Linked DNA regions of Oryctolagus cuniculus. The protein of the gene in region 2 binds, or shares a complex with, the protein of the main gene of each other region. Links are inferred from orthologs where the notes say so. Each region holds a gene or a part of one and is shown on either strand. Other genes may lie near its edges.

Evidence for each region. The genes of interacting proteins can lie anywhere in the genome.
Region 1: the proteins of RALGAPA2 (region 2) and NKIRAS1 are in contact, whole or in part, in a crystal structure (PDB 9QU1), measured with the Homo sapiens proteins. The link is inferred for Oryctolagus cuniculus from reciprocal best matches to the Homo sapiens genes RALGAPA2 and NKIRAS1. Residues at the interface, in NP_065076.2 of Homo sapiens: Pro20, Lys21, Tyr51, Ser52, Gln53, Phe56, Tyr59, Glu60, Ile63, Arg99, Phe102, Arg103, Trp104, His105, Tyr106, Gln107, Ser108, Lys185, Ile186, Tyr187, Pro188, Glu189; in NP_001364280.1 of Homo sapiens: Lys6, Glu22, Leu24, Leu25, Tyr26, Glu34, Met39, Glu40, Asp41, Val42, Tyr43, Met44, Ala45, Ser46, Val47, Glu48, Lys54, Gln56, His58, Tyr60, His74, Tyr75, Ser77, Phe78, Lys108, Thr162.

Annotation. Positions count from the first base shown.
Region 1 is NC_091435.1:159,791,455-159,794,954, reverse strand, and holds part of NKIRAS1 (NF-kappa-B inhibitor-interacting Ras-like protein 1), read left to right. Parts: intron 1-2,688; coding exon of another isoform or gene 2,689-2,737; coding exon 2,738-2,980; 3' UTR 2,981-3,500. UniProt on the Homo sapiens protein: Atypical Ras-like protein that acts as a potent regulator of NF-kappa-B activity by preventing the degradation of NF-kappa-B inhibitor beta (NFKBIB) by most signals, explaining why NFKBIB is more resistant to degradation.
Region 2 is NC_091442.1:45,073,441-45,076,940, reverse strand, and holds part of RALGAPA2 (ral GTPase-activating protein subunit alpha-2), read left to right. Parts: intron 1-3,391; coding exon 3,392-3,500.

The DNA of each region.
Region 1 (3,500 bases), on a different chromosome or scaffold from region 2:
GGAGGATGGCCCAAGTGAATGGGCTCCTGCACCTGTGTGGGAGACCCAAAAGAAGCTCCTAGCTCCTGCCTTTGGATCGGCCCAGCTCCAGCCGTCATGGCCCTTTGGAGAGTGAACCAGCAGATGAAAGATCCTTCTGTCTCTCCCTCTGTCTTCAACTCTACCTCTCTAATAAATAACTTTAAAAAAAAAAAAAAAAAGGCTAAAGACTAGGAATTGGGTAGTTTCATATTGAATATGAAGGTCATATTCATATTGAATATGAATTTGGAGGTCTGGACCCAAAGCCATTTTAGTAGTGTAGTGAGGTGAAGTCTGATGGAGTGGCCGTAAGAGAATGGAATGCAGGAGACACAGCTTTGCTATAAAGGAGGACAGAAAGGACCTGGAGAAGGAGACGTGGAAATGTTTATTTGTGAGGGCCAACAGTGTCAGGGTGCTCGTGGGAGGGATTCCGAGGGGAGGAGAAAGCTGATGATGGGGTGGTGTCGTTGTCCAGGTAAGACGCTGGGTTTGGGAGCAGAGTGGAGCAGGCTGGGAGAGGGCAGGTTGTGACATGGAGTGGTGGAAGCACTTGGATGTCCTTTTCAGTTTCCTCACTGAGATAGTGTGGCGGTCAGTGGACGGGAGGGAAGGTGGGAGAGGAAGCAGAGGTTTCGGAGCTTGGAGAAGGGGCTGAGAGAGACGCTGCCCAGTTCCGGAGTCGGCAGAGACAATGCGTAGGTTTGCTGGGGGAGTGCCAGCTCATTCGAGGCCAGTGGTCATCCACTGGGACCAGCCAACAGGGTTGTGTGTTTTCTCCAGCCCCATCCAGCGGAGTAGTGTGGGCCAAGTCTGGTTAAGAACGTAACGGGGGATGGCTTTTGCCAGGTGAATACGATGGGATAGTGGGGGCAAAAGAGGTCGGTGAAGAGGCACTGGGGACATGAGCAGAAAGGAAGGAGAGTGATGGGGGCTGGCGTGCGTGCTTGTGGTGCAGTTGGAGGGTTAGGCACGAGGGGTCATAGGGCTGCCTGGGATTGAGATCTCATGGGTCTATGGCCATACCACCCTGAACACGCCCGATCTCGTCTGATCGCAGAAGCTAAGCCAGGTTGGTTCTGGTTAGTACTTGGATGGGAGATCTCATGGGGGCTCAGCTGAGGTCTGGGATGTGACTGGCTGAGCTAAGGATGGTTAAGCCCACTGGAGGAGTCAAAGGACTGAGCCCCCGGATACTCGAAGTGCCACCCACGTGTCTGGTATGATTATTAGGAATGTGACCAATGGCAGGGGTGTCCATTTGTGATGGGCCAGCAATGGGCTGGGGGGTGGGGGAGTGGGCGGGGAACATCTTACAGCTACAGTAGCCTAGTAGCTCCAGGCTTCCACTGGGGCTTTTAGGGAAGGACATTGTTGGAGGCAGCATTTTGAGGGTCAAGGACACCTTAACATCCCTGGCCCCCAATTTGGTGCTAGAAGTGTAAGGTGGGGAGAATGGGCTTGTAGAGCTGAACTGGGCAAGACAGATGGGTGCAGTGGGAGTGGGCATTCTGCCAAATTCTAGAGGGCAAAGTGTTAGTTTCTGTTGTTGGGGAGGAGGAGGTGGAAGTCAGACAAGGGGGTGTACATGCGATGTGAGTCCGAGTGGTGACAGGCTTGAGGGCACAGCCCCTGCTTTGAGATGGAGGACGAGATTTACTGGGACAACCAGCACCGTGGGGCCGCTCTTTCACGCTGCCCTGCGGAGCTCAGCAAGACTTGAATTGGAGGGAGGAACATGGCGGCACCCGGCATCTCCACCCCAGCTGCGCCTCAGGGGTCCTCTGAGTCCGGTGGTCTTTTGCTGCCCCATCCCGTGCCCTTCCGTACGGTCACTTCCTGGGCTTACCTCTTCTGCTGTGGCCCTGGGCACCTGGACTATGTTGTGATTGCTGTGCTCTGGTCACCTGACCCTGTGCCTGGGAAGCATTCCTGTTTAACTGGATGACTGGTATTTAGCACTGTCGGCCCGCACATTCAATACACATTTAGCAGGCACTTTTCTAGACTGGGAACAATGTGAACACACAAAATGCCTGTGGGGGCCGGCGCTGTGGCACAGGTTAAGCCTCCACCTAGGGTGCCGGCATCCCATATGGGTGCCGGTTCTAGTCCTGGGTGATCCTCTTCCAATCCAGCTCTCTGCTGTGGCCTGGGAAAGCAGTGAAAGATGGCCTAAGTGCTTGGGCCCCTGCACCCACGTGAGAGACCTGGAAGAAACTCTAGGCTCCTGGCTTTGGATTGGTGCAGCTCTGGCCGTTGCGGCCAGTTAGGGAGTGAAGCAGCACATGGAAGGCCTCTCTCTGTCTCCCCCTGTCTGAAGCTCTACCTCTCAAAGTAAAACAAACCAAAAGCCTGTGTTCATGGAGACTCCCTTCTAGGGGTTCAGAACTCTCAGTGCCAGGTGTATTTTTATTGACGTTTGAAGCCCCGTATTGCAGAATCTCTCAGACCTCAAGTATGGCCACACAGAAACCACTGCTCACATCTTAGATGTTAATTTCCCCTTTCATTCACAGTGGAGGTGAGCACCCCATACGTGTCTGCATTTTTAACAAAAATGTGTTGAGGGAGGAGGGTCGTTGCCTCTTACTCCCAGTGCCATCTGAGAATCCATTCTGCGAAGCAGTAACTGAACAGCTTTCCTCATTCCTCCGTTCTGCATAGGAACTGTGGGTGGCGGAGTACCGGTGCCATCTTTTCCATTTTCCTTCAGGTAGCGATCGTCGTGTTAGGAAACAAGACCGACCTTTCGGAGCAGAGACAAGTGGACGCTGAGGTGGCGCAGCAGTGGGCCAGGAGTGAGAGGGTGAGGCTGTGGGAGGTGACCGCCACTGACCGCAGGACGCTCATCGAGCCCTTCATGCTGCTGGCCAGCAAGCTCTCCCAGCCCCAGAGCAAGTCGGGCTTCCCTCTGCCTGGGCGGAAAAACAAAGGCAACTCCAGCTCTGAGAACTAGACGTCACCCCGTGCAGCGCCGACTGCATCATACAGAGATGAAGGTTTAAAACAGGTCATTGGTACCTACCTTTGGTCCTTGGGAAACCCCTAAGGAAGTAATGTGCTGCACTTTAGGCTGTAATTAAATTCTTTTGGCTACGTTTATTACTATTGCTTGATATGAAATTTTCTCATTCTTGCATTATAAAACCTGTCCCTGAAATTAGCACCTGTTATGTATATTGCTTTGTCAAAACAGTAAAATAAGGTTTGGATAGTATGTAACTGCAATGTATGTAACTCCTCCCCTCCCCCACACTATTTCAGAAGCTGGCAAACTCATTTTATGGAACTAAACTACTTTTTTAAAGATTGAGGGGGTCGGCGCTGTGGCACAGCAGTTAAAGCCACTGCCTGCAGTGCTGGCATCCCATACAGGTGCTGGTTTAAGTCCTGGCTGCTCTACTTCTGATCCGGCTCTCTGCTATGGCCTGGGAAAGCAGCAGAAGATGGCCCAAGTCCTGGGCCTCTGCACCTGC
Region 2 (3,500 bases):
GCAGACAGAAGAGAAAGGTCTTCCATCCACTGGTTCACTCCCCAGATGGCCACAATGGTCGGAGCGGCACCGATCCGAAGCCAGGAACCAGGAGCTTCTTCCAAGTCTCCCACATGGGTGCAGGGGCCCAAGGACTTGGGCCATTTTCTACTGCTTTCCTAAGCCATAGCAGAGAGCTGGATGGGAAGTAGAGCAGCCAGGACTTGGGCACATATGGGATGCTGGCCCTGCACACTGGGACTTTAACCCGCTGTGCCATAATACTGGCCCCGGCATGCACACTCTTGATAAGTGGATACATTTTGTTAAGCATGAAAAGGAAAAATAAAGACCTTTTACAAAATGTGTATATTTAAGGATTTTTTTTTCACTCAGTGTCATAGTTTATCATTCATAACAAAGCTATTTATAGCCAGGTAGTTTCTGATAAGCAGCATTATACTTTAATCTATTTTTATGATCCTCTTTTAGACCATTAGTTACTATTTGATATAATTACTACTTTCAGATGGATACTTAAAAAAGATTATGGAAAATGGAATCAAAAGATACGTTTAGGGCCTGCTGCTGTGGTGTAGAAAGTTAAACCTCCTCCTGCAACACCGGCATCCCACGTGAGCGCTGATTTGAGTCCCTGCTACTCCACTTCCAGTCCAGCTCCCTGTTAATGGCCTGGGAAAGCAGCAGAATGTGATCAAGTCCTTGAGCCCCTGTACCCATGTGGGAGACCCGGAAGAAGCTCCTGACTCCTGACTTTGTATTGGCCCAGCTTTGGCCATTGCTGCCATTTGGGGAGTGAACCAGCAGATGGAAGATCTCTGTCTCTCTCTTTCTCTCTCTGTATTTCTGCCTTTCAAATAAATAATCTTTTTTTAAAAAAGATAAGTTTATTTTGGTGGAGAAAATTTCAAATACACGCATAATTCTTTCATTATGTGCATTTTTATGAAATTTTTGAGAATCTTTTATTCAATTTTCTTAAAAACACCAAAAAAACTATCTTTTCATTCTATTTCCCAAGGACTTTTTGAAGTGTCCTTCTAAAGTCCCAAGTAAGAGACACAGTCAACCAGCCAAGGTGGCTGCTAACTCTGCTCCTAGTGTGCAGGTTGCTTATCTCAGATACCTAACTGCTTACAGAGAAGATGGGGGGAGCTTTCAGAACTGACAGTGAGAAGCTTAAACATGCTACCTTCGTATCTCATCCCCAAATGAAGACAAGCAAGGATCCTAGGAGTCAATTCTTTCAGTTTGTGGATGTCACGAACTCGTTTTTCATGAATGGGGTCCAGACTTCCTCTTCATGTTTCAGGGAATCTGCAGGCAGTCGATTCACCCAGCATCTGTCCAGGAAGAACAGTTATATTTCACAAATGTGCCTTTTCCTGACTTTTTAGTACCAGAGATATTTGGGGCTTTTACTGGGCACGGTTGTGGTTTATGATCTGATTAAGTAAGACTCCAGACTAGTTTCCCATTATAGACTTAAAACACGTCCCTCAAATGCATCTGTATTTATGTCAGATTGAAAGGACAACCTGTGTGAGTAAAAGTACGGGAAGGTTGATTCTCTAATTGTTATGTTCTGCCTGGGGCCTTTTTCAAATTGGACCTTTATCATTAGAGTTTTACAGCCTGCTCTGCCCTGTCGTCCAGAGGAGGTGTTTTACATATGAACTCAGCCAACCCCTGGCTAGCTTCACATTTGCTATTTGGGGCATTACTGTTTCTTAGCATTGGCATTAAATTTGTACATTAAATTTCTTAGTTGTGTGGAAATGATACCAGCTTCTACTCAAGGTGAGGAAGAAAAGTTTAATTTCAGAGACAGAGGTAGATGACCTTCTTTGCTTCTTAAAATGAGCTTCTTGATATGAAATTTCATTTTGAATGAATTGGATGCAGGTGATTTCTTGTTCATTGACAGGAAAAAATTTAAAAATCCGAGAAAACTCAGGACTGTCTCATTCTCAGTAATTGCACAGGATTAGCTTGAGACTGAAGTGTGTTGTTTCTTTGTAAGATTTATACATCATAACATTGATGTGTTATAAATAAAGCAATTGGACTTTTAATGTCTAAGAGGGATGATTAGTATGAAAAAGCGTATTTACAATTATGTTTTAATTAGCATTTTGCTTTTCATGTTTGGAGTTTAGAAACCAATTATTTCCTAAAGCTTTAAGCTCAAATTATAAAACTTAATTTATTTAAGTTATCTAGTGATTTCTTTTATTAAAACTAAAGGTTTTGTTTTTACCTCTTCTTAGGTTAATGTATAATACTTCTATTAATTTGGCAGATTAAAATTTCTCTAACTTCTACTCTTAAGCTTAAGTAGTCATTTCAACCCATACATGAAGATTTAGTTTATCTGCTTCTCCTGAATACCTAATTTTGCAAGGTCTACTTATACATACTGTTGTCAGAGTCTTTTCATGTATTTTGTATAAAAATAAAAACAATATTTCCTTATATTTTGTACAAAATAATTTCCATAGTTTTGTAAATCACTTGCTCTTGGGTATTTAATCATCAGCTACAAATTAGTTAAAGCCTTCTAAGTATTTCCATTAGTCATTAATACTGTCAGATTCTCTTAAATATTTAAAATGCCCTAACAACCAAACATGAATTGTCCCAACGATTATTAAGCAAATTGCTTCAAATGTATTTAAGCTGTCATAGGGTTGATTCATTTTCTTCTCAGCTGCACATCTGCCCCACTGAAGAGAGCCAGGTGACTTCTCCGGCCTACCCCTGTGTCTTCTCCAGAGCTCTTTAAGGATCTGGGCTTTCATTCTTTCCTTATCTACTGTACACATTTTTAAATGTGCCTTGCAGGATCGGCATTGTGACACAGCAGGTTAGGCCGCAGCCTGTGACGCTGGCATCCTAGTTGAGCATAGATTCCAGCCCCGGTTGGTCCACTTCTGATCAGCTCCCTGCTAATGTGCCTGGGAAAGCAGTGGCAGGTGGCCCAAGTTCTTAGGTCTCTGCCACCTACATGGGAGACCCAGATGGAGTTCTAGTGTTCTGGCTTTAGCCTGCCCCAGCCCCAGATGTTCACTCTGGGAAGTGAACCAGCAGATGAAGATCTGTCTGTCTCTCTCTCTGTAGCTCTGTCTTTCGAATAAATAAACCTATTAAAAAAAAAAAAAGTCCCTTTCAGGAAGAAATCCTCACATATGTTGAGTTTTTCTAAAACACTTTATTTAAATTGCTTTTAAATTCAAATAGAACTAGTGTCAAAAAGAAAATATATGGGGGAAAAAAAAACACAGGCTGAAGAAACAATGTTCCAAGTACAAACTGGAGTTTGGTGGTGGTGGTCTGAGTTTTCATGCTGCTTCTCCAGTGTCTCTCTATGCTCTGTTCCTTGTGCTGGCAGAGAAGAAGAGGAGGAGCGTGGAGCTGATCCCCCTGACTGCCCGGATGGTGATGGCGCACCTGGTGAATCACCTGGGGCACTACCCACTCCACGGAGGCCCCGCCATGCT